Oryctolagus cuniculus: one gene and its partners. The protein of the gene in region 3 purifies or fractionates together with the protein of the main gene of each other region. This does not show direct contact. Links are inferred from orthologs where the notes say so. Each region holds a gene or a part of one and is shown on either strand. Other genes may lie near its edges.

What was found.
Region 1: the proteins of KEAP1 (region 3) and SLK purify together in Homo sapiens (affinity purification with western blotting; 3 studies listed by BioGRID and IntAct, with this or other methods). This does not show direct contact. The link is inferred for Oryctolagus cuniculus from reciprocal best matches to the Homo sapiens genes KEAP1 and SLK.
Region 2: the proteins of KEAP1 (region 3) and NIBAN2 purify together in Homo sapiens (affinity purification with mass spectrometry; 3 studies listed by BioGRID and IntAct, with this or other methods). This does not show direct contact. The link is inferred for Oryctolagus cuniculus from reciprocal best matches to the Homo sapiens genes KEAP1 and NIBAN2.
Region 4: the proteins of KEAP1 (region 3) and TSC22D4 purify together in Homo sapiens (affinity purification with mass spectrometry; 4 studies listed by BioGRID and IntAct, counting the BioPlex papers as one, with this or other methods). This does not show direct contact. The link is inferred for Oryctolagus cuniculus from reciprocal best matches to the Homo sapiens genes KEAP1 and TSC22D4.

Annotation. Positions count from the first base shown.
Region 1 is NC_091446.1:26,086,151-26,093,650, reverse strand, and holds the start of SLK (STE20-like serine/threonine-protein kinase), read left to right. Parts: upstream 1-3,126; 5' UTR 3,127-3,752; coding exon 3,753-3,902; intron 3,903-7,500. UniProt on the Homo sapiens protein: Mediates apoptosis and actin stress fiber dissolution.
Region 2 is NC_091432.1:231,054,322-231,061,973, reverse strand, and holds the start of NIBAN2 (protein Niban 2), read left to right. Parts: upstream 1-3,278; 5' UTR 3,279-3,414; coding exon 3,415-3,469; intron 3,470-7,652. UniProt on the Homo sapiens protein: May play a role in apoptosis suppression. May promote melanoma cell invasion in vitro.
Region 3 is NC_091447.1:66,948,726-66,956,255, forward strand, and holds the start of KEAP1 (kelch-like ECH-associated protein 1), read left to right. Parts: upstream 1-3,420; 5' UTR 3,421-3,661; intron 3,662-3,839; exon of another isoform or gene 3,840-4,059; intron 4,060-4,312; exon of another isoform or gene 4,313-4,838; intron 4,839-5,265; exon of another isoform or gene 5,266-5,287; 5' UTR 5,288-5,334; coding exon 5,335-5,973; intron 5,974-7,530. UniProt on the Homo sapiens protein: Substrate-specific adapter of a BCR (BTB-CUL3-RBX1) E3 ubiquitin ligase complex that regulates the response to oxidative stress by targeting NFE2L2/NRF2 for ubiquitination.
Region 4 is NC_091450.1:42,684,573-42,691,960, reverse strand, and holds the start of TSC22D4 (TSC22 domain family protein 4), read left to right. Parts: upstream 1-3,014; 5' UTR 3,015-3,490; intron 3,491-3,891; 5' UTR 3,892-4,151; coding exon 4,152-4,913; intron 4,914-7,094; coding exon 7,095-7,261; intron 7,262-7,388.

The DNA of each region.
Region 1 (7,500 bases), on a different chromosome or scaffold from region 3:
TTATGATGTCAGCCATCACCCGAGGCTCTTGCTATGAGCTGTCTAGGCTGTGGAAGTCCCTTGAGTTCACCAACTCTGAATTTGTTTAGTCAAGGCCGTATCACAGTGGAGGTTCCTTCCTCCCTTCAGAGAAAGGTGACTCCCTCCTTGATGGCCTATTCCTTCTGCTGGGGTCTTGTTCACCAGGATCTTTCATTTAGATTGTTTTTTGCCACCATGTCATGGCTTCCCATGCCTGTGAGACTCTTATGGATCTTTTAGCTAGATCCAAATGTCCCAAGGGTTGATTCTGAGGCCAAGTGCTGTTTTGGGCGTTTGCCATTCTATGAGTCTGCTGTGTGTCCTGCTTCCCCCGCAGGATCATTCTCTCCCTTTTAATTCTATCCTTCATTATTTGCTTACACTGGTCTTATTTGTGAAATCTCTTCAACACTTACCCTATCTTTTTGATCGGTTGTGTATTTATACTTATCACTTTACCAAGTGCGCTGGCATTGGTACCTGCCTCCTTGGTAAGATTGAGTTGAAATCCCCTGGCACATTTCTAGTTCCACCATTGGAGGTAAGTCTGAGTGAGCATGTGCCGACCTATATATCTCCTCCCTCTCTTATTCCCACTCCTTTGTTTAACAGAGATCACTTTTCTGTTAATTTTAAATGCCTAAGAATGATGCCAAATTTATTATTTTATTAAAAGGGGAACCTTTTCTGAGATTCATTTGTTTCCATAATATATGAAAAAAGCTGAGACTATTTATTAATGGTATCAATTTAACTGTGCCTTGCTAGTGACTTTTTAAAAATAAGATTTATTTATTTTGAAAGGCAGAGTTACAGAGAAAGAGAGAGAGAGAGAGATCTTCCATCCACTGATTCACTCACATCAGCTTCAATAGCTATGGCTGAGCCAGGCTGCAGCTGGGAGCCAGCAGCCAGGAACTCCATCCTGTTCTCCCAGGTAGGTGGCAGGGGTCCAGGTACTTGCATCATCTTCCACTGCTTTCTCTGGGCACAGTAGCAGGGAGCTAGATCAGAAGTGGAGGAACTTGGATTTGAGCTGGCACTCATACAGGAGACTGGTCCTGATATCCCAGGTGGTAGCTTAACCACTGCCCTATAATGCTGGCTACTGCTAGTGACTTAATGACAACTCTAAGCAGGGTTGATATACAGACAGCTGTCTATATTTCTTGCATACAGTTTGATGCGTTTGGAAATGGTATTCATTCATGAAATCATCAATGTCATAAACATGTCCATTGTACAGGCCTGACTATTAACAATGGTTAGGTTGGGGGTGAATTTGAGTGGGGGCAAGGCAGGAGAGGAAAATTACAGTTTCTGAGTTTGTAATTCCTGTATCTGAATTATTAACAACAATGATACACAATCTTTTTTTTTTTTTTTTTTTAAGATTTATCCATTTATTTGAAAGTCGAGGAGAAAGATCTCCCATCTGCTGGTTCACTCCCCAAATGGCCCAATGACCAGGGCTGGGCCAGGCTGAAGTCAGGAACCAGGAATGTCATCTGGGTTTCCCTTGTGGGTGCTGGGACCCAAGGACTTGAGTCATTTTCCGCTGCTTTCCTGGGCACATTAGCAAGAAGCTTGATCAGAAATGGAATAATTGGGTCTCAAAGCAGTGCCCATATGGGGTGCTGGTGCTGCAAATGATGGCTTAACCTGTTGTGCCACAGCACCAGTCCTGATACACAATCTTTCAACATGAGAACATAGTAGTCTTTTCTATTTTGAAAAGAACAAAAAAGGAAACAGACATACACCCTTTGGCCCAAATCTCTTTCTGGTGATTTATCTCAAGGAAATAATCAAGCATGTATAAAAGGATTTTGTATGCAAAGATATTTATTAATGTTTTATTTAAAATAAAGATTATAAATATCTCATGATGCAAGAGAGAATAATTACTAATTGTACTGGAATCTGAAAAGTAATCTCATTCATGTAAAAAAAAAAAGCATGGCCAAAAAAACCTGTTTGGAAATTTAATGAACTCTTTCCAATGGCTACCTCTGGACGGTGGAATTCCACTACTCTTGTATTTGATTTCTTTTTTGCATTTCTCTATTTTCTTCATAAATGATACCAATTAAAGCAGATTAATATTGCTTTCACGTGTGTGCACAAATGTACAGCCTATTGTATATCAATTATACCTTAATAAAAACTTAAAAAGTAGAAGGATCATGAGAAACCGAATCATATTAAGCTTCCTCCTGGAAGAGGGGTTTTGCTGTAACATGTAGGGGCTGGAGGGTAAAATGGTCGGGGAGGGGTGGTAGGTGGGTATTATATAAACAGCAGCAACCCTGCCTTGCTGGATACCTCCACTCACGCATCAGCCAGACCCGTCTGCCTCTCCCACGCCAGGACGTCTCCCGCGACTCGGTCACCTTGCTGAACAAGCAGCCACTGCCCCGAAAGTGCGACCGGAGGCGAGGAGGGCAGGTCACCTTCTGGCCGATTGCAGACGATGCCGGTACGGCCCCAGCCGGGCAGCACCGTCCCAGGCTGGACGTGCCATCCGGCGGGCGGCGGAGAGCCCCCCCAGACATCCCTGGAGCAGTGGGCTCGAGCAACTGTTCTAGGTCCGTGTCAGCTGTGAGACCACGAGCTTGTGCCGGTGCCTCACTGAGCCCTCGCTGCCACCTCCAGGCAGGCGCCGTGAGGAAACTGAGGCAAGGGGGCGTCACCTGCTCCAGGCCACAGGGCTCCGGCTCCCAAGCCAAGGCTCACAGCGCCACCCACACTCTCCTCTCACTATCCTCTGGAATCAATTTAAGAGCTAAAAACAAAGCCCACTTCCCGGCTCCACTCAGGAAGCCTGAGCTTTCATTCTTGACAGTTTTTCCCACATCCAGCACCGAGGCAACATCCGCCAGCGTCGCAACGCGGGGGCCACTACGAACAAAGCCAGAGGCTGACGAGGATTCGGGGTTCGCAGGGCCAGCGCCGGGCCCGCCTCGGGGGACCGCAGGGAACCAGGGCCCGCCGCACTCGGCTCACCAACACTTCGGCGCCGCCAGCCTGCGCGGGCCAACGCGCGTGCGCGGGGCTCAAGGGGCCGCCCCTGCGCGGGCGCGCGGCGGGGGAACGCGCGGGCACGCTGCGGAGTCGGCGTCGGCGTCGGCGCGCGCTCCAGGCCGCGGCTGTGTGGGCTGGGGAGGGAGCGAGGCGGAGGTGGCGGCGCCCCAGAGCTGAGGGGACGCGCGGGCCTCGCGCCGCAGGAATAGAGACGGCTGCGAAGGAGGCCCGAGGCTCGCTGCCCGCGGCCGGGGAGCTTGGCCTCTCGCGCGCTCGTCTCAGCGGCTGCCGGCCGCTTCCCTCGCCCCGAGTGGCCGCCGCCCCTGGAGACTCGTCGTGACACGGGCCTAAGCCGCCGCGGCTGCGGGCGTGCAGACCCGCCGGGCGCCGTCGGGCCGGGCCGGGACCGGGTGGACGGGCGTCCGCACAGGTGCAGCCCCCGCGGGCCGGCCGGGGGCCAGGCGCCCCATCGCGCGGCGGGCGGGCGGGCGAGCCGGGCTCGGCGCAGGGCGCCCCCCCTCGCCGCGGGCCGGAGCCCCGGGCGCTGCCCCGCCCTCTCCGGGGACGGCCCGGCCGGAGCCGCGGGAGCCGGAGACCCCGCGCCGCCGCCCGTCCGCCGGGCTCGCGCGGAGAAGGAGGCGGAGAAACTTTGCCTTTTATTGTTGTTTCTAGTCCTTAAGTGCAAGGAACTCTGTGGGGGAGGAAAAATGTCCTTCTTCAATTTCCGTAAGATCTTCAAGTTGGGGAGCGAGAAGAAGAAGAAGCAGTACGAGCACGTGAAGAGGGACCTGAACCCCGAGGAGTTTTGGGAAATCATAGGCGAGCTGGGCGACGGAGCCTTCGGGAAAGTGTACAAGGTAAGAGGGAGACGACGGGAAGTGGCCTGGGAGATAGAGCAGCCGCTGGCCCAGGGGCACGGGGGCTTCACGCTGCGGCGACCCTTTCCTGCCTCCTTTTTGACTTCGCGGCCAGGCGCTGGAACTTTCTTTAGCCGACCATCCAAGGAGTCGCTTAGACCGGGGGCTTAAGGATTCAACAGAATGGGGCTTGGATGGAGTTTATCGAGGGGACCGGGTTATTCCTGCTTCTCTGTCAAACTCCAAGGAAATGAGAGTTCCGTAATTTACAGGAGGGGTCTGGCCATGGGCCTCCAATGATCTTACAGTGGGACACTCGTTACCTTTTTTAGTGGATTTTTGTTTGGTTCCTGTTTGCATTTCTCTTTTTAGGGTCCAGGGCATACATTAGGCTGTAGCTATAGCTAGTATATAGCCCATCTCCTGGGATCAGAGCCAGGTGATAGCTACTTGGTCTGTCCTTGAGTGGTTGCTTGACAACATCGCATAAAATGGAATGGAATCTCTTAGAAAATTTCCAGAAGAGAAAACTTGCATCTGGTGCTAGTTTCTAAATATAATTATAGTAAGCTTTGACTAGATGTCAATACCAAAGCCTAAGGATAAAGCATTGTATGTATACATATTATTTCTATAGAAAGATTTGGCATTTTAACCTGAAGGCATTCATGTGAACCGTTTACTGTCTGCTAAGGAGCATTTGAGTGATGTCATTGGAATATTTTCATCTTGAAGGGTAAGGCTTTTATGAGACACAGTTTAGGGGAAGGACCAACAGTGTTGCCTAGAAGTGAAAACATAAATAAGTAACTTGGTTTTTTTTTTATAGGAAGTTTGCCGTTTGTTAAGTACTTTCAGGTAATTGACTTTTCCAAAAATCTGGTGAGGTGGACAGGTCAGTAGTAGTAGCCACCTTTCACATCTGAGGACACTGAGATTAACAAGTTATTCATACAAGTCAAGTTTTGACTTGAACTCAGATCTTCTGACTTCATTTATATATATATTTTTACTTTAACATCAATTGGTAGAAGTGGCAGCATTTTCCTTGCTTTGTAAGCAGCATTACCTTTGACTTTACTCTGCCACAAATGCATCTTGTTCCTTATGCGCTCTCCTCTCTATGTGCTTTCAAGACACATTGTTCATAATTGTCGCATTATAGTTAGTGTGTTTGTATTTCTGTAACGAAAGCATTATGATGTTCATCTGGGTTTAACCATTGCCTTAGCACATAGCATATCTCTGTTGAAGTGCAAGATTGTTCTCATGTGAATGCTATTGAAGTTCATGTCTGCAAAGTGGGCCTCAGTGTTTGGGTGGACGGCTGGGTATGGTTTCAGCAAGAGCTTACTGTGTGAGATGTGTGTAGGAAGGGCTTTTAGTGCAGAGCGAAGATCTCTTCTGGGAGTCGAGTTGTGTGTTAGTGTTGGCTGTCACTTAGCTTCTCTGCCCCTTTGTTTTCTTGGCTGTGAAGTTCCAAGTTTTCCTAAATGTTTGTTTAGACCCCTTAACCTATTAACGTTCCGTGAGTATGCAGTTAGCTGGGAAAGGCAAAACAAATCCTCAAGGCATCTGGCATCCTGTAGTTTGAAAGCAGCAGGTGATTTCATGTTTTCATGGTGCAAATATGTTGTTTTATCAAATATAAACAGCTGAGTATTAAGGGCAGTGGCTCTTGAGTCAACATTTCTCGGCTCCCTCTCTCCATAGTAGTGTGTGACCTTGGGCAGGTTACTGACAAGTTCTATGCCTGACTGTCCTCATCAGTAAGGCCTGCCACTCAGTATGTTAGGATTAAAGGAGATAATAAATATAAGTCACACAGAAAGGGCTTAATAAGTGGTAGACGTTACTGTTAACATTTGGAATTCATAGAAGTAAAATATGGGATGGGACAGGAAAAGGTACTAAACAGGAAACCATTTCCTTAGTTTCCCATGGCAGGGGCAGGTTGTGTGAGCTATCAGTACTTCTGTGGTTTATTCTGTAGTGACCGTTTCTGCAAAGTTAATGTCTATGGTAAAAATGGAAAGTTTTCTGAAAATTAACAACTTCATGTGGTTAAACACTAATTGTTTCAGGGATAATTTCTGTGGGCTTACTGACTGTGTTTTAGGATGATATTTCAAGAATCTGAGTTCCTTGCATCTTTTTTCATTTCATTACTCCAGGCTTCTAAGGAATAGAGTGTAAAAAATTTTTTTAAAAGAAAACTTAAACTTTATACTTATCTGACCTATTTGGGCCTAAAAACTTTGCCTCTAAATTTTTGCTTTTCAAGATTCCCTAGAAATTATAAAGTTACTGACTTCTTTCTATGTGGGGAAAAGTTATCAAACTTTAACATTTTATGTAGTAGTATGCAGTAGAAAACTACTTCTAAACTTCTAATCATTTGTTTGTGGAAATTGGTAACTCACAAAGATTACATTGTAAATAGGTATTCATTTTTCCAGCACAGTTGTATTCCTTCCTCTTAGTCCAACATTATAAATACATCTCTAACATAATTACTTCCTTGCCTGAAAAATCTTTGCTATTTTACTTTTGTTTTCTGTTTAATATGGTATTATTTAACATATATATGAAGCTATGGAATATCCCTCACAATTTTCTATTTTTGGATTTCTGTTTTTAACAGAAAAAAGGGAATGACATAAAATTATTTAATGAATTGCATTTTTGGACAGCTGATGTTTTCTGTTAAACCAGTTGAAGCTGAACTCCAGGTTGTGTGTTGGATGCAGATTTTTTTTTTTTTTTTAATTTGACAGGTACAGTTATAGACAGAGACAGACAGAAAGGTCTTCTTTCTGTTGGTTCACTCCCCAAATGGCCGCCACGGCCGGCACTAGGTGCTTCTTCCTGGTCTCCCATGTGGGTGCAGGGGCCCAAACACTTGGGCCATCCTCCACTGCCTTCCCAGGCCACAGCAGAGAGCTGGACTGGAAGAGGAGCAACTGGGACTAGAACCGGCGCCCATATGTGATGCCGGCGCCACAGGCAGGGATTAACCAAATGAGCCATGGCGCCGCCCCAACAGATGGTTTTCTTTCTTTCTTTTTTTTTTTTTTTTTAATTTGACAGAGTTAGAGAGAGGGACTACAGAGAGAAAGTTCTTCCTTCTGTTGGTTCACCCCCCAAATGGCCGCTACGGCCGGAGCTACGCCAATCCAAGCCAGGAGCTTTTCCTGGTCTCCCACGTGGGTGCAGGCGCCCAAGCACTTGGGCCATCCTCCACTGCCTTCCCGGACCACAGCAGAGACTGGACTGGAAGAGGAGCAACCGGGACTAGAACCAGCGCCCATGTGGGATGCTGGCGCCGCAGGCAGAGGATTAACCAAGTGAGCCTCGGTGCTGGCCCCAGATGGTTCTTTTTTGACAACTGATGAGTGTATGCCTTTTAAGAAATGGTGAAATGTGGCTGATGCCACGGCTCACTAGGCTAATCCTCCGTCTTGCGGCACCGGCACACTGGGTTCTAGTCCCGGTCGGGGCACCAGATTCTGTCCCGGTTGCCCCTCTTCCAGGCCAGCTCTCTGCTGTGGCCTGGGAGTGCAGTGGAGGATGGCCCAAGTGCTTGGGCCCTGTTACT
Region 2 (7,652 bases), on a different chromosome or scaffold from region 3:
AACAGGGTAAACAGAGTTGGACACCCGATACCCCTTAGAAACAAAATCCTGATTCATTCACACTCCCGCTGTTTACTGGCCCTGTTTGTTTTTTTTCCTCCTGGTCTATTTCAGGTCCGACAGGTTTGTGGGGAGCTGAGGCTCCCAGCCAGCTGGGAGGGAGCTGGACCACACGGCACCGCGGGGCGAGGCAGGGCCCCTCCTCCTTCCTGCAGGGCGAGGAAGGGATCTTGGCCTAGGCCCTGCTGAACCTTCAGGGGCAAATCCCTTCCCGTCTCTGGGCCTTGGTCCAAGGCCTGGCTGCAGCCCTCGGCGGGCGCCGTGCCTCTCCCAGGCAGCTACCCTTCTTCACCTTTGAGTCCCTGGTTCCAGATGTGCCGAGGGTGGAGGCCGCTGGGCAGAAGCCACTTCCTGACCAAGGACTGATGACTCAGGGGCTGTAGGTGGCATCCCTGTTCAGGAGGGGCAGGCCCGGCAGGTGAGCCTGGTGAACCGATAGGGCCCCGCCTCCCCTCCTCCCCAACCCTGCTGTGGGCCTGCAAGGGGGCCTGAGAGCCTGGTGGGTGGGGACCCCAGAGAAGCAGCAGAGACTCCCTCCAAATCCTTTGCCTTGCCCAGCTGGCCTATTCTTGCTGTAGAAAGAATTCTTACAAATTAATAAGAAAAAAAAAACAACACATTCCAATAACCAAGCAGGCAGAGGGTGTGAATTAAAAGAAAACCACAAAGGACCCATAAATATGTGAAAAGCACGCATCACAGTGGCCTCGAGCAGGGCGAGCGCTCCCCACGTCCTCGGCCCAGAAACCCTCCCCTGTCTGCCTGGAACCCTTCGTGGCGCTGATGGCTGTGCTTGGTTTTCTTTGCTAAAAATAAGACAAGCAAAAAACCCTTCACTCCCCTCCCACCCAAAGACCATAGCTGGCCTGATTTATTAGCACGTAGTAGAGAGCTGAGAACTTTTAAATAACTTTACAGTCTTCCCAGAAAAAAAGTCATAAATGTCAGTCCTGGACACGCAATTTACCAACCCACCAGGAAGTCAGCCCCAGCGCTGTGGCCTGGGGCCGCACCGACTCATCTCCCTCGCCTGACACGCCCTATCCTAGAGCCTCAGTATGGGTTCCTGTGTGCAGCCAATGCAATGTATATTATGTAAATTTTTATTTATTTGGAAGGCAAAGAGATGGGGAGGGGAAAGAGACAGATAGGCAGACGGACAGTGAAATCTTCCAACCACTGGTTCACGCCCCAAATGCCTGCAACAGCCAGGCTGAATCAGGCCAGAGCCAAGAGCCTGGGACTCCATTCAGGTCTCTCTCTTGTGGGTGACAGGGACCCAAGCCCTTGAGCCATCACTTGCCACCTTTCAGGGTGAGCATTAGCAAGAAGGTAGAGCTAGAAGCAGAACCAGGACTTGAACCCAGGCTCTCCGATATGGGATGTGCACATTCCAACTGATGGATTCACTGCTATACCAACCTGTCCTAGAATATCATTCTAAAAATCCTTGCAGCAATTTAGTCAAGTGTAACATAGACATGGCCGGGGCTGGCGCTGTGGCGTAGCGGGTAAAGCTGCTGCCTGCAGTGCCGGCATCCCATATGGGTGCAGTTTGAGTCCCAGCTGCTCCACTTCTGATCCAGCTCTCTGCTGTGGCCTGGGAAAGCAGTAGAAGATGGCCCAAGTGCTTGGGCCCCTGCACCTGCGTGGGAGACCCAGAAGAAACTCCTGGCTCTGGATCAGTACAGCTCTGGCCGTTGTACCCTCTGGGGAGTGAACCAGCAGATGGAAGACCTCTCTCTCTCTCTCTCTCTTTCCCCCCGCCTCTGCCCATTCTGGGTGCCCTGTGAAAGCTTCCTGCTCTTCAAAGCCAGCCCTGTGCCCGCTGTGCCCACACCCAGGAATGCTGCTCTCCAGGATCTGCTGTCAGAAGCTTTGCCTCTACTCCCGCCTCAAGAGGGTCCCCTATACTCCTGGGGCAGGGACCGCGACGCAGAGTGGAGGGACAGGTTCATTTATCGAGAGGACCACCCTGTGCCTGCGATCTCATCTAATCCTCCCAGCAATGCCTGCTGCCCTCGTCTGACCGAGGAGGACACTGAGTTCAAAGAGGCACGGCCACTTGTCCAGGGCCCTCGAGGGCAGGCAGCGTGGACTTCCTGGCCTGTCCACCCCTGGTGTCTTGTGGCTCCTAGACAGGTGTCAATCATGTGAGTGGTAAGGGAGTGAGTGCCTGCATCGCTAACTGGTGCCAGAGCTCCCTCCCCTGGTGCTGGCAGGCCTGAAGCATAGGTGGTCTGTGCTGGCCAGTGCCAGGATCACCACTTTCTGCCTCAGGTCACGGTGAGAGCCAAGAACCGTCCCAGAGCGGGGTGGGGTGCGCAGAGAAGTGGTGAGGTCCCACTCACCCCGAGTAACCAAGGGGCTGCTGTTGGGGTGCAGGAGAGGAGATGTGGGCCTCAGCACCCCTGCAAAGCTTCTGCCACCCCAACTCACGTCCAGGGGTCTGGCATGTCGGCTGTTAACCTGACTCCCATGCCAGCCTGGAAAACACTTCTCCTCTGCTCCTGTGACCCGGCCGTGCCCAGCCCTACAGGCCAGGACCCAAAGTCCACGCCTGCTCCAGATGGTGTCTCCTAAACTGTAAAGTGCCACTACTATCTGCTCTGACTCCCTGAACTGCCCATTCGCCGGGTCTGCTTGGCAACTGGGGTCCTGCACCTTTGGACCCGAGCCCTCCTCATTCTCCCCCACACCCCCCCCCCCCGCCGCCGCCCCGTCCTTCCTTCCCACCCCCCACCCCCGTAACTATTGTGCAAGACAGGCCGGCACACCTGGGCAGGTAGGATCAAGGCCAAGGATTTCCTGAGCGCGGGCGGCAGCGGGTAGGCGGGGGCAGGGCGCAGGGCGCGGAGAGAGCGGGAGGAGCCGGGCGCGGATTCCTGCGCGACGGCCTGTCCCCCACGTCCTCCGAAGCAGGGAGTCTCTCGTCTGGTGCAGGGAGGGGTGACACCCAGGCTAGCTCTCCCCGGGGCACCCCCGGGTCTCTCGGATACCCCCACCAGCTCCATCTCGTGCTGGGCTCGGGCCGGACGCGGGGCTCTGCGCCCGTCTCTCCCGACTCCCTCTCTGGGACCTTCCCTTTGTCTGCGACTCCCGGGCGGTCCCCGCGTCCCGGGCCCTGCGCCCCGCCCGCGCGCGGCCAGGAGGGGGCGGTGCCCGGGCCGGGGGCGGGGCCTGGTGGGGCGGGGCGGGGCGGGGCGCTGGGTCTGGGCCCGAGCCGGAGCGGAGGCCGCAGCCGGGGCGGCGGGAGCGGCGGGAGCGGGGTGGCCGGGCTCCATGGCGCCAGCGGTGTCCGCCTGAGAGCGCGCAGCGGCGAACGGCCAGAGCGGGCCGCGGCTCTTCCTCGCCATGGGGGACGTGCTGTCCACGCACCTGGACGACGCCCGGCGCCAGCACATCGCAGGTGAGCGACGCGGGGTTCGGCCGCGAGCCCCGGGCCACGCCCCCACCGCGGCCCGCCGAGCTCGCCGCCGGGGCGGGGGTCTCGACCGAGGCCTGGGGCGGCACGGGAGCTGGTGGGGACCGGGTCCCGCGTCCGACCTTGTTCTCTCCGAATCTGAGCGCCACTTCCCGCCCGCGTCGGAGCCTCTCCTTCCCCCTCTTGAGGGAACTCGTTCCCCCTTGCCCTCAGAACCCGGCCCCGGAGGACATCCCCCCAACCCACTACCCCAGGTCCAGCTGTGGCAGGGGTCGTCGCCTGCCCCCCCCCCAACTCCGGATGTCCGGCCCAGGCTCATTCCAAGCCCACCCTCTGTCCTCTTTGGAGTCCTGCACAGCCAGCGCGTCCTGACCATCCCCCCAGCTGTCTCGGTCCCTAACTTGCCCTGGCCCAGTACACGTGGCTGAGGCTTCCAGGGGCTGGGCCTGTTAGGAAAGTCGGGGTGCACTGGAGAGGGTGGGGCCCCTGCCCTGGCCCAGACACAGGAGGGTGCTCCTTCAGACAGTCCTGCCCAGCCCAGGTTTCTCAGAGGGGCAGCTGTCGCCAAGGCTCCTGGGCAAGGCTCCTGGACTCCTTCCCTGTCCCACCCCCCTCACTGCCCCAGTGCCTTGGGGAGGCGAGGTGGGATCTCAGACTGCCTGGAAGCAGCTCTGGCTGACCCCTCCCGGCTGCCCGTGGAGCCCTGGCATTTGTTTCCCAGATGTGTGATCTCGGACAAGTCTCTTAACGTGCCGGCGCCTTGGTTTTCTGTTCCCTGAAATGGGATCAGCGATGTCTTCCCTATGAGTGGGTCGGGGGACGACTTCAGTGAGCTCATTCCTGGCGCTTGCTCAGCACGGGGCCTGGCGCAGAAGGAGAACTGATCCATGGGGTGCTGGGCAGTGGGGGTTTGGGCACGGCCCGTGGAGACCGGAGGCAGTTCCTGTTGGTAGCACTTGCCTCTCCCTGTCCAGTGGGCCCTGGCCTGCGTGTCTGCCCTCACTGATTCCGTGTCCCTGGGGCATGTTCTCCACGCTCTCTTGAGATTAGGGACCCTTGAGAGCAGGGACCAGGTGTTCCTTCACCCCCTGTCCCTGGGTCCCAGGCCTGCTGGGCTCAGAGAAGGTGCTGGTGTGACCGCAGTCCTGGGCCTTTGGTTCCTCTTTGCTCCCGGCCTGGGGCTGGGCCCAGGGCTGGGGATCTGGCAGAAACGGGTCCGCCCCTGGGTAGCCTCTCACCAGTTGGGGGTTAAGTCCTGGAAAGCCTCCTTGGAGGACAAGGCCTGGTCTCTGGGAGGAGGAAGGGCCGGGGCGGAGTCTTCCTGTCCCCTCCCTGTTGGTGGCAAACTCCTGGGGCTCCATAACAGTCCCTCCATTCACAGCCTGCTGTCTGGGGCCCCTCACCCGGCCCGGGTGGGGTGTGACGGCCCGGGTGGGGTGTGGCGGCCCGGGTGGGGTGTGGCGGCCTTCTGTGGGGTTTTTCCTCCCCAGCCCGCCTTCTGGGCTGAGAACTGCCAGCCCTGTCCCCGTGGCCGTCTCTCAGGGGCGGGCACTGAGCCCGCACAAGGTGGAGTGTGAACTGGGAGAGCGGACTGGCCCTGTGGACGGGGCTGAGTGGGAGGGGGTGCCCCGGAACCTGCTGGCTCTGCTGGAAGCACTTCGGGGCTATTAATAACCCTCTTGGGATGCCACACATTCCAGGTGCAGGCTCACCTGAGGGGCTCCTGCCACGAAGAGGTGGGAGCGCCCTCCCTGTCTCCAGGAAGTGAACTTTGGAGATCTGGGTCGGAGGGGAATGGGGCGGGCGTGCCTCTGCCACCCCCAGCCACCCGTGCACCCTCTCGCCCCGCCCAGGGAGCACTGGGCGCCTTCAGAGGAGACAATCAGAAGACCAGAGCCCTCCATACCTGGAGCCTGGTTCTCCACCTGGGAGACGCCAGCCTTGGGAACCTCCCTTCCCACGGTGCCGGAGCTCCCAGGCCTGTTTGGGTTCTGCGGCTTGGCCCGCATTTGTGCCCGCCGCGAGCAGGTGAGCAGGTGGATGCCAGCCTGCAAGTCCTGGCAGAGGTCAGGCGCGCTCCTGCCCATGGTGCTGTTTTGCTGCCACGGCACCTTTCATCCCCGGGTTTCGGAGCCCCTGGCAAGCAGGGGCTTGTTCCCGCACCAGCAGCCCCACGGAGCTGGTGGCGAGCTGATTACCTACTAGGTACCTGCGGGGGCCTTCGTGGAGGAAGGCGCCATGGCCCTGGCGGCCCAGAGGCCTGCATATCCTCAGACTGGCGAGACAGGCAGGGGTGCGGTTTCCCTAGCTGCGAACCAAAGCATGGGTGCCCTGGATGGCTCTGCGGGCCTGGGGATCCCGAATTTCCCTATTGAACCCCCCCTCCCCACACCAGGTCCAGACACAGCCTGCTGGCAAGGTGACCTTGGGCCCTATCTTAACCCAGGTTTTCTTATCTGTAAAATGGGAATAATAACAGTGGCTCTCTGCTAGGCACTGTGGGGGAGGATTTGATGAGATAAGGCGGGTAGGAAGCTCAGCCCAGCAGCTGGCCAGGGACTGCCTCACAGACAGGTGCTGTGGGTACCGGGGCTGTCCTTAACCTTCTGGTGGGGGCTCCAAGTGGGCAAGGAGATCCACCCATGTTTGGGGTCCGGAGGAGACCGCTGTAGCTGTGGTTTGGGCCCTGTTTCTCTGGGGGTGGTCTGGGGCCAGGGCGCAGCCTTTTTTTTTTTTTTTTTTTTTTTAAGATTTGTTTATTTGTTTGAGTTACATATAAAGAGGAAGAGAGAGAGAGAGAGAGAGAGAGAGAGAGAGAGAGATCCTCCATGTGCTGGTTCACTCTCCAAATGGCTGCAACGGCCGGAGCTGGGCCAGGCTGAAGCCAGGAGTTGGAAGCTTCACCCACATTGGTGCAGGGACGCAGGCACATTAGTGGGGAGCTGAATCGGAAGCCGAGAAGCCCGGTCTCAAACCTGGATGTCGGCGTGCAGATGGCGGCTTTACCGGCTACGCCACGGCGCCAGCCCCCAGAGTGCAGCCTTGAATCCTCCCGTGTTTCCTGAAGCCTTGGTCCCTGTGTTCCTTCCGTCTTGGTGATGGATGAGGGCTGTTGAGGGGGTCTGGAGGGTGGGTAGTGGTAGGACTCGGGCAGGTGGCTGGGAGGAGAAAGTGGAAGTGCCTGGGCCCCCAGGTGGGTTCTGAGCGTTACTGGGTTAGCTGCACGTGGCCTGAGCCACAGAAACCAGGATGTAATAGGTGAGGGATGCGGGGTGCTGTGGCCCCGGCAGGAAGCTTGGCTCTGGCTGGGGTGGGGTGGGGATCCCCCTTCTGTCTCTAGAAAGCTTGGGGCGCCTCGATCCTTGCCGGCCTTGTTAGCTGAGAGTGCTGGGAGGGAGTGGGCCAGTCCCTGCCCTCCTCTGCCCCTCCCTGAGGCGGGGCTCACCTTTCCCTCTGGCTTGTTGTTGTTGTTTTAAGTAGCAGCTTTGTTGAGACAAACCTCATCTACGCAAAACCCACCCACTGCAAGGGTGCACCTCAGTAGTTTTCAGGGTATTTACGGTCTCATGCTGGTGCTACCACCCTTGGCAGTAACCCCTGTGTCCCCCATGTCATCCCATGTCCTCCCATGTCCAGGCAGCTGCCACCACCTGTGCCTAATTGCAGGAGTAGTGCACTCCCCGGAAGAAATCACTCAGCTTTGGGGTGTCACCGTTTCCATACACACCTCTCTGTGTCTATACTAATATCGCTTTGTTTATTTATTTATGATTTATTTATTTTATTTGGAAGGCAGAGAGAGAGAGAGAGAGGTCTTCCATCTGCTGGTTCACTCCCAAGATGGCCGCAACAGTCGGAGCTGCGCCGATCTGAAGCCAGGAGCCAGGAGCTTCTTCTGGGTCTCCCACATGGGTGCAGGGACCCAAGGACTTGGGCCATCTTCTACTGCTCTTCCCAGGCCACAGCAGGGAGCTGGATCAGAAGTGGAAGTCGAGCCGGGACTCGAACCAGCGCCCACGTGGGATGCTGGCACTGTAGGCGGTGGCTTTACCTGCTACACCACAGCGCCGGCCCCTCGCTTTGTTTATAATAAGAGGCCCTGTTCCACATTCTATGGCTTGATGTTTTTTGCTGGGCAGTTCTTCCCAGGGCAGGACTCAGTCCACCT
Region 3 (7,530 bases):
GGGTAAGGGGCATCTGGCTTCGGGCTCAGCCCGCGGTGCGCCGCCTTCCGGTAGGACTTGGAACTGCAGGCCGTCGGGAAGAGGTCGGCCGCCTGGGGGACTGGAACTGCCCTTGGCGGCCACACTCAGCGGGCACTGACCTGATTTCCGGAACACCCACGCTGTCAGCCTGGGACCGCGATCCCAGGTCGCTCTCAGGACTGGCCCACATCCCCTCCTTTGCCTGGCACTCCTGCCCGCATCAAGGGTTCTCAAATCTTCCCGGGAGACCCCCGAGGCCACCCCAGTCAGTGGTGTGGTTATTTGGTGGTGGGAGATGTTTAGATTTTTTTTTTCATGAAAAACAAAAAGCGCACAGAGGGGCGGGTGTTAAGACAACACGTGGGACCCCCGCGTGACATAGCTGCCCACGGCCTGGGTTTGAATACTGTGCTGCCTCTGATGGCAGCTTCCCGGGAACCCACACCCTGGGGGGCAGCAGGTGAGGGCCCCGATACTTGGGTCCCTGCCAGCCACCCATGTGGGAGCCTTGGATGGAGCCCCTGGTTCCTGGCTTCCGCCTGGCCCAGCTCTGGCTGTTGCAGCCATCCGGGGAGTGAACCAGTGGATGGAAGACCTCTCTCTCTCCACTCCAGAGCCTGCAAAGCCAGCATCTCCTATCAGAGCGCTGGCTCAAGTCCTGGTTGTTCCAGCCCCCTGCTAATGTGCCTGGGGAAGCAGCAGAGGACGGCCCAAGTGCTTGGCCACCTGCCACTCATGTGGGAGACCCGGATGGAGTTCCAGGCTCCTCGTTTTGGCCTGGCCCAGTCACGGCTGTTGTGGGCACTGGGAGAATGAACCAACAGGTGGAAGATCTCTCTTTCTCTCTGTCTCTCCATCTGTCACTCTGCCTTTCCAATAAATAAAAATAAATCTAAACATACAATTAAAAAGCACCCAGTTCCCCTTTTGAATGGACATCAGTGTTGGGGTTCCCAGAGAAACTTCCAGAACTGTTCTGTGGCTGAATCTGCCGAGATGTAAATGCACCTGCTGTCTTCTTCACCCGCGCCCTCCGCTTTGCTCACTCCTCTTCAGCGTCTCTCGGGGGACTGTCCCCCAGCCACACGTCTGCACTGTGTTCCCGCCCTGGTCGGCTTGGTTTGCCAAGACAGATGTCATACCTGGGTGGCTTGACCACAGAGATGTATTCCTCTCGGATCTGGGAGCCGGATGGGCCCGGATCAGGGTGCCGGCATGGCTGTGTTCCGGTCAGGGCCCTCTGCTTGGCTGGCTGGCGTCTGCCTTCCTACTGCGCCCTCACGAGGCGGAGCGAGCTCTCTGGTGTCTGTCGCGATGCCACTTTGTGTATTTTAAAATGTTTATCTGTTTGTTTGAGAGGCAGAGAGAGGATGGGAGAGAGAGAGGATGGGAGAGAGAGGGAGAGAGAGAGAGAGGGAGAGAGAGGGAGAGAGACCGTCCATGCTCTGGTTCACTCCCCAAGTGCCCACAACGGCTGGGACCCGGCCATGCCGAAGCTGGAAGCCGGGAGGAACTCAGTTCCTGTCTCCCAAGGTCCACACTGGCAGGAAGCTGGGGTCAAAGATGGAGCCACGGGGCCGGCGTTGTGGGGTAGGGGGCAGAGCCAACGCTGGCATCCCCTGTGGCACCGGTTCAAGTCCCAGCTGCTCCACTTCCACTCCAGCTCCCTGCTGATGGCCTGGGAGGCAGCAGATGACAGCCCAGGTACTTGGGCCCCTGCCACCCACATGGGAGACCTGGATGAAGCTCCTGGCTTTGACCTGGCTCGACCCTGGCCGTTGGCGCCATCTGGGGAATGAACCAGCAGATGAAAGATCTCTACTTCTGTCTCTCTGTTACTCTGGCTTTCAAATAAATAAATCAATCTTTTCAATCTTTTTTTTTTTTTTTTTTTTTTTGACAGGCAGAGTGGACAGTGAGAGAGAGAGAGAGAGACAGAGAGAAAGGTCTTCCTTTGCCGTTGGTTCACCCTCCAATGGCTGCTGCGGCCGGCGCTGTGCTGATCTGAAGCCAGGAGCCAGGTGCTTCTCCTGGTCTCCCATGGGGTACAGGGCCCAAGCACTTGGGCCATCCTCCACTGCACTCCCGGGCCACAGCAGAGAGCTGGCCTGGAAGAGGAGCAACCGGGACAGAATCCGGCGCCCCGACCGGGACTAGAACCCCGTGTGCCGGCGCCGCAAGGCGGAGGATTAGCCTAGTGAGCCGCGGCACCAGCCGTCAAATAAATAAATAAATCTTAAGAAGAAGAGGAGGAGGACGAGGAAGAGGAGGGGGAGCCACGTGCAGCAGTGTGGACACGGGCATCTTAATGTGGGTCACTCTCCAGACGCAACATCCACGCTGGGCCAGGCTGAAGCCAGGAGTCAGGAACTCCATCCTTGTCTCTCCCGTGGGTGGCAGGGGCTCCAGTCCTTGGGCCACGCCTGCAGCCTTCCCACACTGGTCGCAGGAAGGTGGGTTGGAAGCGCAGGCACTCTGATATGGGTTGCCGATGTGCCAGATGGCGCTTACTTCCACGTGCCCCAACACCAGCCCCTGCCACTTCGTACCAAGCCCACGGAGCATCACGCAGGTTGCTACAATTCTTTGCCACAACAGACCTCATATTGCAGTAAGACTGTGCACATAACACTTTTTTGCACGCTTGTGAATGTCTCTTGGGTACATCTCTACAGGCAGCACGGCTGGCCCACGGGGCCTGCAGGTTTGGTTTGGAGAGATGTCAGAGGCTGTGGGTTACAGTCACGGCTGGAGCGCCCCCCTCGGGAGCTTCCCGGAACTGCAGCTTCACACAGCCCAGTGTGGGGAGCGCTCCACCCCAGCCCGGTTCAACCCCAGACCCAGAGCCCGAACATCAAAAGCCCCCAGATTTCACGTCGGAGACTCCAGCAACCCTGTTCTTAGACAAACATCTCCTCGGCCTGTCCACTTTTCAAACTTGAAATGCGTCTGTTGAAAAGTTAACTTCATGTCATCAAGAGCAACCGTGCCGAGAAAAATTAGCAATAGCGCTTTTGTCCTCGCCATCACGGAACGTGGAAGAAACTAAGGTTCTGTGGGCGCAGAGTTAGCAGCAGGCGGGTCGGGGGTTCGAATCCCCGCAGGTGGGTTCCATGCATAACTGAAAAATAAAGACAACAGGAACCCAGCTAGGCAGGTGGCTCCAGCGGGCATGCACTGTGTGGATAAGAAGAACAGGTGTCGCGCACAGCAGCCCCAGGGACGAAACCTGCCCAGATGGAAGGGACGGTGCGAGAGGGGTGCGAGACCTGCCCGCCCCGCCGGCCTTGCACCCTTGCGGGACGCCGGGTCCCTCGCGAAGGCACCTGCGGGGAAAGAGGCGGGGAATCGCAGCTCCTTCCCCGCCGCGCCCTCCGCGCCTTCTCCCCGCCTCCTTCCCGGGAGTCCGGAGGCCACCCCCCACCCGACGTCTGCGACCCCGCTGGCCACGCCGCCCCGGAGCCGAGGCCCCCCCATAGGCGGCGGGGGCGCCCTCGGGTCCCCAGTAGCAAAGTTAGGGCCGAAGCCACCCCGCGCAGAGCCGCGGCTCCCCACCCACCACCCCGCCTCGGGCTTCCCGGAAGCGTGGCGCGCGGGTGGCACCATCGTGCCCCGTGCCTCCCCACCCCGTGGGACGGAGGTGAGTGAACCCCGGCAGGGGTGGCGGCGAATCCCGGGGCGCGGAACGGGGCCTCGAACTCGGGGCTCCGACGCCCCACGCGGCCGAACGGAGCCGCGATCCCCCGCCCCGCCGTGGCTGGCGCTGTGGTCGCTGCTGCGCCGGGGCTGCGCAACCCGGCGACCGCGGGCGGGGGTTGGGGGCGCGGCCTGGGGCCTGTCCACGCCGCCCGGGGCCAGGAGCCGCGGCGCACCGAGCGTGGGGTGGGGGGGTGGCGGACTTTTATTCTGACATGGCCGGCGCCGCGCTCTGCTTAGTCATGGTGACCTACGCGCGCTCCGCGCCTCCCCCCGGCGCGCAGCGATGGAGGCGCCCGGGCTCCGGCGGCGGAGGCGGAGCCGCAGCGCGACCATGGCGGGGTGAGTGAGGCGGCCTGTGCCCAGGCTGCGGGCGCCGCGGGCCTCGGGCGCCCCGGCGACCATGGCCGGGGGCCGCGGGAATGGGAGCGCGGGGCCCTGGGGCCGCCTCCGAGTTCCCGGAGGCCCCGGGAGGGCGCGGCCGGGGTCCGATCGTTTTGTTGGACGGCGCCACTGCCGGGGCGGCCGGAGAGGCACGGAAGCCGGGAGTGAGACGCAGGGGGGGAGCGCACGCAGACGAAAGCCCGGGGATCCCGGGGCGTTGGCGACGGCTGGGTGCGCGCTGCGGCCTTGGCTGCCAAGAGGCCGCGGCGGGGTCACTTCCTCGCTTCTCCAAGGCCTTGGTGGCGGCTCAGGCGGGGCATGCGCAGTCCCCCACTTGTCGCTTCGCGGCGGGGGGGAAGTGCTTGGTGCCCAGGGGCACCGTTGACCGATTGGCCAAAGATCCAGAGGCCAGCCCGGGGCCTCGCATGGGGAGAGGGGGCCGAGCGGCGCGCCGGGCAGGGTGGAGGAGGGCGGCTCTGGCAGGCACCGTGGCGTGGGCAGCCGGCCAGCCACTGGCTCCTGCGCAGTGCCAGGCCGCGGGCGGGACGCGGGGACACACAGGAGAGGGTGGCCCCAGCGCTGGCCTGCAGGGGGCTCCCTGCCCCCTTGAAGCTCCGCGGTGGAGTTTGGGGGGGGGGCGAGAACGAGGCGACGTTGGGCTGAGCCCCAGAGCTTGGGAGCGCCTTGCAGGTGCCGCGGATTTCAAAACGTGACTCAAGCCCTGGCCCTCAGCCTCTGTGAGTCTCTCAGCTCCTGACCGGACCTTGCTGCTCCCTGCGCCCCAGCGCCAACCTCACCTTCCCAGAGGGGTGTGGGCCAGGACACCACAGTGCCTGGGACACAGCAGGCGCTCAATAGATGTTGCAGGGCTGAGCGAAAGAATGAACTTGACATGACTGGGGAAGGGAGGAGGTAGCTGGATGGCTGGATGGAGTGAGCTGGAGAGAAGTGGGTGGACAAGAGCTGACTATCCTGCCAGCTGTTGAGGGGTCCTGTGTGGTTTTGGGGGTGGGGGCAGGATCTGGGTGGACCCCTGGGTGGGCACGGCCAGGAGAAGGTGGGGAGCTCCACCGGACCCCACCTCACCAGGTTTGCTTTGGGAATGGCTCTGTCTTACGAAAGAGGGCCTGGCAGGTGCTGGCCTGACCCCTGCCCTGCCCCCAGCCCTGTGCTCTCCCTCCTCCAGGCCCCTGAGTGTCCGTGGCGGCGTGATCCCTTGTCACTTGGAACCTCATGCAGCCGGAAGCCGAGCCTAGCGGGGCGGAGGCCTGCAGCCGATTCCTGCCCCAGCAGTCACAGCGCCCCGAGGGGGCGGGGGACGCCATGATGTTCGCCTCCACCGAGTGCAAGGCCGAGGTGACGCCCTCCCAGCATGGCAACCGCACCTTCAGCTACACGCTGGAGGACCACACCAAGCAGGCCTTCGGGATCATGAATGAGCTGCGGCTCAGCCAGCAGCTGTGTGACGTCACGCTGCAGGTCAAGTACGAGGACACGCCGGCCGCCCAGTTCATGGCCCACAAGGTGGTGCTGGCCTCGTCCAGCCCGGTCTTCAAGGCCATGTTCACCAACGGGCTGCGGGAGCAGGGCATGGAGGTGGTGTCCATCGAGGGCATCCACCCCCAGGTCATGGAGCGGCTCATTGAGTTCGCCTACACGGCGTCCATCTCCATGGGCGAGAAGTGCGTGCTGCACGTCATGAACGGTGCCGTCATGTACCAGATCGACAGCGTCGTCCGCGCCTGCAGCGACTTCCTGGTGCAGCAGCTGGACCCCAGCAACGCCATCGGCATCGCCAACTTCGCCGAGCAGATCGGCTGCGCCGAGCTGCACCAGCGCGCCCGCGAGTACATCTACATGCACTTCGGGGAGGTGAGCCGGGAGGCGGGAGGGCTTGGCACGGAGGGGCGCGCCCCAGGGCGTGATCCCCGTGAGACGCCAAGGGGGAGCCGGGGAGGATCGAGGGCCCTGGCCACACATCTGACCACCAGGACAGTGACCCTGGTTTCCCTGGGGTCAAAGGTAGGGGCAGAAGGCAGTGACCGTGACCACGGCCAAGCGCTGGTCAGCAGTTCCTTCCAGGACAGCGAAGACAGGCTGCTGGCTGCCCTGACCCTGGTCCTTGTTCTCTTTAGTGCCCACAACCTTGTTATCGTGCAGGGTTTGGTTTCGTTTTTGTTTCTCCGTGGAGGAAGTTGTCAAAGAGAAAATAACTCAAGGGTTTTGTTATTATTATTTTTTTTTCCAAAAGGCACTGTCCTAAGCCCTAGTTCTGAGGTTGCATCTCTTGGATGCCAGGCGCAGCCGGAATGTCCATGATCTGACTTTCCAGATTCAAAACACTCCAGAATCCGAAACTTTTCCGAGCAGTGACGCGATGCCACCAGTGGGAAGTTCCGCTAAAAACCATGCATGAAGTCACCTTCAGGGCCTGTGTGTACCCAGGAGTCTCCCAGAACGTCACAGGGATACGTGTTAGGGAAAAACCGGGCATGGATTTCAAAATATTTTTTTTTTATTTGACAGGTAGAGTTAGTGAGAGAGAGAGACAGAGAGAAAGGTCTTCCTTCCGTTGGTTCACCCCCAAATGGTCACTATGCGCCAGGAGCGCTGCGCCGATCCGAAGCCAGGAGCCAAGTGCAGGGCCCAAGCACTTGGGCCATCCTCCATTGCCCTCCCAGGCCACAGCAGAGAGCTGGACTGGAAGAGGGGCAACCAGGACTACAACCCGGCACCCATATGGGATGCTGGCGCCGCAGGCAGAGGATTAACCAAGTGAGCCACGGCACCGGCCCCGATTTCAAAATATTTTTGCACCAAAATAAGCTTATCTTTTAAACCCAGCCCCCCCCCCAAACTTTTGGAAGAACACCTGTATAAGCGAATTTGGTGTTCACACGCGGGTCCCATCCCTAAGTTTCCTTGCTGTGTACACGCAGATATCCCAAAACCCACAAAAGAATCCAAATCTCAAACACTTAAAAATTTTACATTATTTACTTGAAATGGAGAGTTACAGAGAGAAGAGAGAGAGAGAGAGGAGAGTGATCTTTTGTCCACTGCTTCACTCCCCAAATGGCCCCAACGGCCAGGGCTGGACCAGGCCAAAGCCAGGAACCAGGAGCTCCATCCGGGTCTCCCACGTGGGTACAGGGGCCCAACACTTGGCCCATCCCCTGCTGCTTTCCCAGGCGCATTTGCAGGGAGCCAGATGGGACCTGCTTGTCTGGGACGCCTGCGTTAACCTGCTGGGTCCCAGTGCTGTGCCCTCCCGGCCAGCACTTCTCTTCCTAAGCACTTGGGGTGAGGTGCTCAGCGCATGGTCTGCGTGACTGCCCCGCTGTGGCTCACTGACTCAGCCCAGCCGTCCTGGGAGGAAGTGTGGCGCGTGGCTGCGCAAGCAGGGCTGTGTCCCTGGCCCCAGGTCTG
Region 4 (7,388 bases), on a different chromosome or scaffold from region 3:
CGCCGCAAGGCAGAAGATTAGCCTAGTGAGCCGCGGCACCAGCCCAAATAAAAAAAATTTTTTAAAAATATTTATTTATGGGGCCGGTGCGTGCCTGGCCTGAGGCGCCGGCATCCCATGTGGGCGCCGGTTCTGGTCCCGGCTGCTCCTCTTCTGATCCAGCTCTCTGCTGTGGCCTGGGATGGCAGTGGAGGATGGCCCAAGCGTTTGTGCCCCTGCACCCACCTGGGAGGCCTGGAGGAAGCTCTTGGCTCCTGGCTTTGGATTGGCATAGCTCCAGCCGTTGCTGAGGAGTGAACCAGCAAAAGGAGGACACCTCTCTCTCTACCTCTCTCTGTGACTCTTTCAAATAAATAAAATAAATCTTTAAAAATATTTATTTAGCCGGCGCCGCGGCTCACTAGGCTAATCCTCCGCCTAGCGGTGCCGGCACACCAGGTTCTAGTCCTGGTCGGGGCGCCGGATTCTGTCCCGGTTGCCCCTCTTCCAGGCCAGCCCTCTGCTGTGGCCAGGGAGTGCAGTGGAGGATGGCCCAGGTGCTTGGGCCCTGCACCCCATGGGAGACCAGGAAAAGCACCTGGCTCCTGGCTCCTGCCATCGGATCAGCGCGGTGCGCCGGCCGCAGCGCGCCGGCCGCGGCAGCCATTGGAGGGTGAACCAACGGCAAAGGAAGACCTTTCTCTCTGTCTCTCTCTATCACTGTCCACTCTGCCTGTCAAAAAAAATTTATTTATTTATTTATTTATTTGAGAGGCAGAATTACAGAGGGAGGGAGAGACATAAAGGTCTTCCATCCACTGGTTCACTCCCCAAATGGCTGTAACAACTGCAGCTGGGCTGATCTGAACCCAGGAGCCAGGAGTTTCTTCGGGGTCTCTCTCGTGGGTGCAGGAGCCCAAGCACTTGGGCCATCTTCCATTTCCAGGCCATGAGCAGGGACTTGAAACAGTGCCCATATGGGATGAGGGTGCTGCAGGCCGAAGTTTAACCTACTACACCACAGGACCGGCTCCCCCCACCCCATTTTTTCTTTTTTTTTTTTATTTCCATGGCAACAGTCTCTCTCAGAATGTTGGCGAAGTGTACCAAAGAAAGAGAAAATGGCAGTTGGAGGTCTGTTCTTTTAAAATATTTATTTATTTAGGCCGGTGCTGTGGCTCAATAGGCTAATCCTCTGCCTGGGGCATCGGCACACCAGGTTCTAGTCCCGGTCGGGGCACCGGATTCTGTCCCAGCTGCCCCTCTTCCAGTCCAGCTCTCTGCTGTGGCCTGGGAGTGCAGTGGAGGATGGTCCAAGTGCTTGGGCCCTGCACCCCATGGGAGACCAGGAGAAGCACCTGGCTTCTGGCTTCGGATCAGCGAGGTGCACCGGCCGCAGCGTGCCGGCTGCAGCGGCCTTTGGAGGGTGAACCAACGGTAAAGGAAGACCTTTCTCCCTGTCTCTCTCTCTCACTATCTAACTCTGCCTGTCAATAAATAAATAAATAAAATATTTATTTATTTATTTGAAAGGCAGAATTAGGGAGAGGGAGAGACAGAAAGAGAAAGAGAGCAAGCAAGCTTCCATCTACTGATTCACTCCCCAAATACCCAAAATAGTTGGAGCTGAGCCAGGCCAAAGTCAGGAACTGCATCTGGGTCTTCCACCCAGGTGAGAAGGGCCCAAGCAATTGAGCCATCTTCCACTGCTTTAGCAGGTGCATTAGCAGGGAGCTGGATCAGAAGCAGAGGAGCCGAGACTTGAACTGGTGCTCTTATGGGATACCTGCAAAGCAAGCAGTGGCTTCACCACTGCCCCAGTGTGTTCTTTCATGCCAAGTGCATAGCAGGCTTTTCATTAGTTTGTGTGAATTGTCCTTCTTAGTAAGCACTGGATGCAGCGGGAGAGCTAGGGAAAGGGGCCCTGCTTGTGGCTGCTGGGGTTGGTCCTCAGGTGCACCTGTGTGGGTAAGTGGATATTCCTGCGTGTCCAGTGTCTGGAGAGAAAGTGAAAGTCAGCCTCCTGTCTGCAAGTCCTAATGTGTTTCTCGTTCCACACAAAGAGCTGAGTGTGGGGTCAGCACTGGGGCGCAGCAGATTAATGCTCTGCCTGTGCCGTCCGCATCCCATATGGCCACCGGTTCTAGTCCCGGCTGCTCCTCTTCCAGTCCAGCTCTCTGCTATGGCCTGGGAAAGCAGTAGAAGATGGCCCAAGTCCTTGGGTCCGTGCACCCGTGTAGGAGACCCAGAAGAAGCTCCTGGCTCCTGGCTTTGGTTGTGGCCATTTGGGGAGTGAACCAGCGGATAGAAGACCTCTCTCTCTGCCTCTCCCTCTCAATCTCTGCAACTCTGCCTCTCAAATAAATAAATAGAAAAGAGCTGAGTGTGTGGAATGTCTCTGCTGTACGAATGACAGCCTTTTCCAAACTCTCTGGTCTCAATTTTCACATCCAAGTAGTTCAGTAATATGATGTCCAGGATTTCTGATACAGGACATTGGGGGTAGGGATGGGAGAAGGCGGGCTAGGAGTTGCTAATCGCTGAACCCACTTGCTAAGTACCTGGGTGGTCACTATTCAGTTTTGTTGGAAGTTTTTCATAATAATCCACTTTTTCAGATAAGGAGTGGGGGAAATAATAGTCCCTTCCTCTTTCAAAGAAGCTGTGACAATGACAGTCACAGCCGCGCCGGCACGTTTAAGTCAGGCACTTCTGGGCAGCCGGGCACCCCGCACGGGCCTGGTCCGCTCCTGGGCGCGCGTCCGCAGGCCAATGGCAGCCAGCTGCCTGCAAGTAAGGGAATCCCTGGTCTCTCGGCGAACTCCGCCCCTTTCTCCCCGCCCTCGAAGCCCCGCCCTCCGAGGAAGCGCCGGGCCGGGGCCCAGCAGGTGTGGGGTTAAGGGAGCCCGTCTGGGGCCCCAGGAGCAGAAGCAACTGCAAGAGCGGCGGCTGTGGCGGGCCTGGCCCGGGGCCAGCTGGCGGGGAGCCCCAGGAGGGAGGAGGGGGGAGGAAGAGGGGAAGGAGGAGGAGGAGGAGGAGGAGAGGAGCAGTCAGCAGGCCCGAGGAGGCAGGACTTCCTGGTGTGGGGGTTGTCAACAGCCCCGAAAGAGAAAGACAGACGAGACTGAGAGCAGCCGAGGAGCGGAGACAGGTCCAGCGGGACCACGCGGGAGGAGGTGTGCGAGACCCGCTCGCCGGGACCACCGAGGCCGGCTGCCGCCTGGAGCCGCGGGGGGCTGAGCCGCACCCTCCCACAGCTATCGGGAGACCTCGGGCTTCGGAGGCGGCTCCTGGGCTCCGCCGAGGGGGCGCAGACTCCTTTTCTGGAGCGAAAACTTTCCACGGAGATGCCTCGCAGGGGGAGGTGCGGCCCCCGAACAGGACTGGGCTGCCCCTGACCGCCGCCTGCGTGCCCCGCGCCACCCCGGGGCCAGGAGGCCCCCGGGAAAAGACAGCCCAACACCTTGGGCGCCGGGACCCCCACGGTCAGCTCGGTGGCCGAGACCGAGAGGTAAGGCCCCCGGACTGGGCGTGGCGCGGCGCGGCGCTTGGGGCGCGGGCAGGGCCTGCCCCTGGGATGTGGGAACCGGGGTGCGGGGTGCCTGGAGGAGGCCCAGCAGAGTCCGCCAAGCGGCCTGGAGGTGCCGCCTCACCCTGGTTCACCCAGGACCTGGAGCCGGTGCGCTCAGGACAAACTGGGTCCCCTGAGTTTGAATCCCAGGCCAGAAATGCCCAAGTCTGTGTGCCCCACGCCGTGCTCTCTGGCCTCCCCTGCCTGTCTCTTTGTCTCTGGGTCTCTGGCGATTTCCCCTTCCTCTCCAATTCTGCTCCCCAGAGAGGAAGCCCCGGAGGTGGCCTGCCCACTGCTTTCTCACACACGCGCGCGCACCCGCGCTCTCTCTCTCTTTCCAGTTTGCAAACTCAGCTCTGGAGTTCGGCGGCGGCAGCAGGAAAAACCTGCCCCTGCTCCCCCCTCCCGCCACCTCCCCTACCCTGTTCTGTCATCAGCCGGGCACCCCCAGTTCCCACAAGGCCCTTTGGCCATGTCGGACCCAGATGTTCCCAGGGGCCCTGATGCCCCCGCAATGTGGCCCCCCTGTTCTAGGGGTGCCTGAGCCCCTTCAAAGAGCCCCAGTCCCCCAACCTCAGCCCAGTCCTGAGTTCCGGGGACCATGAGTGGAGGCAAAAAGAAGAGTAGTTTCCAGATCACCAGCGTCACCACGGACTACGAGGGCCCAGGGAGCCCCGGCGGCTCCGATCCCCCTGCCCCACCGGCCCCTGCGGGGCCCCCGCCCCGCCTCCCCAACGGGGAGCCCAACCCCGACCCAGGGGGCAAGAGCACCCCCCGGAATGGCTCCCCACCGCCTGGGGCCCCTGCCTCCCGCTTCCGGGTGGTGAAGCTGCCCCACGGCTTGGGAGAGCCTTATCGCCGAGGTCGTTGGACGTGTGTGGATGTTTACGAGCGAGACCTGGAGCCCCCCAGCTTCGGCCGGCTCCTGGAGGGGATCCGGGGAGCCTCGGGGGGCACTGGGGGTCGATCTCTGGATTCCAGGTTGGAGCTGGCCAGCTTGGGCCTGGGCGCCCCTATCCCACAGCCAGGCCTGTCTCAGGGCCCCACCTCCTGGCTGCGTCCGCCCCCCAGCTCCCCTGGACCTCAGGCCCGCTCCCTCACCGGCGGGCTGGGCCAGCTGTCGGTGCCCGGCAAGGCCAAGGTGGAGACACCCCTCCTGGCGGCCTCCCCACCGCAGCAGCGCCTCCCAGAGCCTGGGACTGGGGATAGCGCCGGCACATCCCTGGCTCCCGTGCCCCTGCCCTCCCTAAGGGTGGAAGTGGAGGCTGGGGGCCCGGCGGCAGGGACCCCTCCAGCGTCCCGAAGGAAAGATGGAGCCCTGCGACTGAGGATGGAGTTGGTTGCTCCAGAGGAGGCTGGACAGGTAAGAGCCAGGTTCCAGGTTGGGGGAGACTCCTGAGGGCCCTGCTCAGGCATCTCAGTCGGAGCCTCACCGCCATGCTCCCCTCCCCCGCCACTGTCATCTGTCTCATCCGTGGCACCTCTTTTCTCTCTCTGCCGTCGCACTTTGCTGTCCTTTGCTTTCTCCCTGGGGCTCCTCTTCCCTGCAAGCTACACCTTCTTTCTCTGTGGCCTTTAATTTGTTGCCTTTGGCTCTTGCCCTGTCTCCATATAGCCTTTAGCTACAATGGTCTGCTCACTTTGGTCACCACCTTCTGTCTTGGGGTCTCACTCCCTCTGGCTCCAGGTAATGAGGGTGGAGGCCCCGGGCTGGGTGACTCGGCCCCTGGTCGAGGAGTTGCCAGGGTTTGGGGCGGGGGGAGGCTCAGGGGGCAAAAGGTGGGATTTCTGCTCTCAACCTCTCCACGCAGCTCCATCCTAAGCGCGGGGTCTTCTCTCTGCCAGTGCCCAGCCCAGGCTCATCTCCACCCTTGCTGCAAGCCATGTTTCTCTGAGGCACTGAGGAACTGGGTGGATGGGGCACTGGACGGGATGGGGGGCTCGCCTCACCCCTGGTGGGGGGGTCTGTCTTGGTTCCTGCCTCTGTCCCCTCTGGGGTTGATAACAAGGGGTGGCCACCGTGGCGTGGGAGAGAGGCGGGAAGCAGCAGAGGAGGAGTTAAGTCCTGTGCGTTCTGCTTCCTGTCTCCAAAAGAGGAACAAGTCTGGGCTGGGGGCAGGATGCCTGGGTCCCTGGGGTGGGGGTGGGCAGCCAGGAATGTGGGGTTGGATGCTTCTGTTCTGCAGGAGAAAATAACACCTTGGACTGCGGGGTGAGGGGGAAGGCCTGGAGGGTGAGGATGAGAATGTTTCCCCCTTCCTGGCCTTGGGCACAAACCACAGTATAAAAATAACCTGAGACTGGATGTCTGGGTCCTGTCAGGACCGGTCAGGACTGGCTCCCCCACCCCCTCCTGGCCTCAAGCTCATGGCTCTCATGACCCCCCCCCCCTTGCTTGAGCCTTTCCCTCAGTTTGGACCCCAGAGAGAAGATGCTGCGCCCCCAACCCCACCCCATCCTTGTCCCCAGCCTCTTGGAACGATTGCAAGCCCCCTTTGCCCTCTCCTTCTGTAAGCTCTGCCTGTGCTTCCCTGGGGTCCGTGGACCCTGCCCCTGGTGCCACAGTGCCCTCTACCCTCTTCCTTCCGCCACGGCCTGATCACTTCCTGTGTGCAGGCGCCTGAGTCCCTATTTCTTTTCTATCTGCAGCCTCCCCCAACCCTTCAGCCTCAGCTGCCTCCCACAGAGGCTGGAGGTGAGGGGGGGGGCAAGGGGGCACCACCTGGGCCCCCTTCCTCTGCTCTGTCCCGCTAAGCAGCCTGAACTCTCTGTTCTTGGCTCTTCCAAGAAACTGGGGCCTCCCGGGGCCTCACAGAGGCGTCTTGTCTTGTTCCTCTCACCCCCGCCCTATTGCAGCCGCCCCCAGCGCCTGTTGGGCTGTGTGGGTCCACGCCCAGGCTCCGCCTCCCCCCTCATCTGCACACCCCTACCCCCCACCCCACCCCAGCCCAAGCAGGGCAGAGAGCAGAAGCGGAGTTTCACCTGGTGGGGCCCAAGGAGTCCCAGAGGAGACCTCCAGTGGGGGTTGGAGGGCTGCTTTCTGAGGATCCATTCATTCTACAAATAGCGCTGAGCAAACTCGTCTTCTCGCAGGGGCGACACAATAAATACTTTAATTTCAGATAATGTTAGGTGCTATAAAAAAAAGTGAAACAGTTCTATGCACTGTGAGTGATGGGGAGATGCTGCTCCGAGGAGGCGACATGTGGGTGGCTCTCGGCAGACAGGTGACAGAGAGCAGCTGCTTTGTGGGTAGCCTCTGCGTGGCGGGCCTGGCTCAGGGGGAACAGGGCTCCTGAGATGCAGACCAGAGCCCCTCTCTGATCGTCTGGGAGCCCCTCACCCCAGTCCTCAGGGTGATGGCCTTCTCCTTGCCTCTGGTGCTTGCCCAAGGTCTTTACCAGGGCTGGAGGAGGGAAGGGCTTTTGGGTCCTTGGAAGAGAAGGGCAGGAGGTGGGAAGGGAAGAAGAAAACGGTGCCAGTTCTGAGGCGGCTGGCTCCTTTCTCTCTCTCAATGTGATGGCTCCCACCTCTCTGCCTCCAGGTGCCCCCACACGACTCTCGTCCCAGCTCCCCGGCCCTCTACTTCTTCCCCGATGCCAGTCTGGTTCACAAGTCTCCAGACCCCTTTGGAGCCGCAGCAGCCCAGAGCCTCAGCCTGGCCCGCTCCATGTTGGCCATCAGTGGGCACCTGGACAGCGATGACGATAGGTAGGTGGGCTCCCCACCAGCACCTGGGACGGCTGCGTGACGCTACCCGAGTTGAAGGGGACCTGTTAAATAGAGACCTAGCCTGGGCATAACCGCTGTGCACACTTGATCTGGGACCCACTCCCTC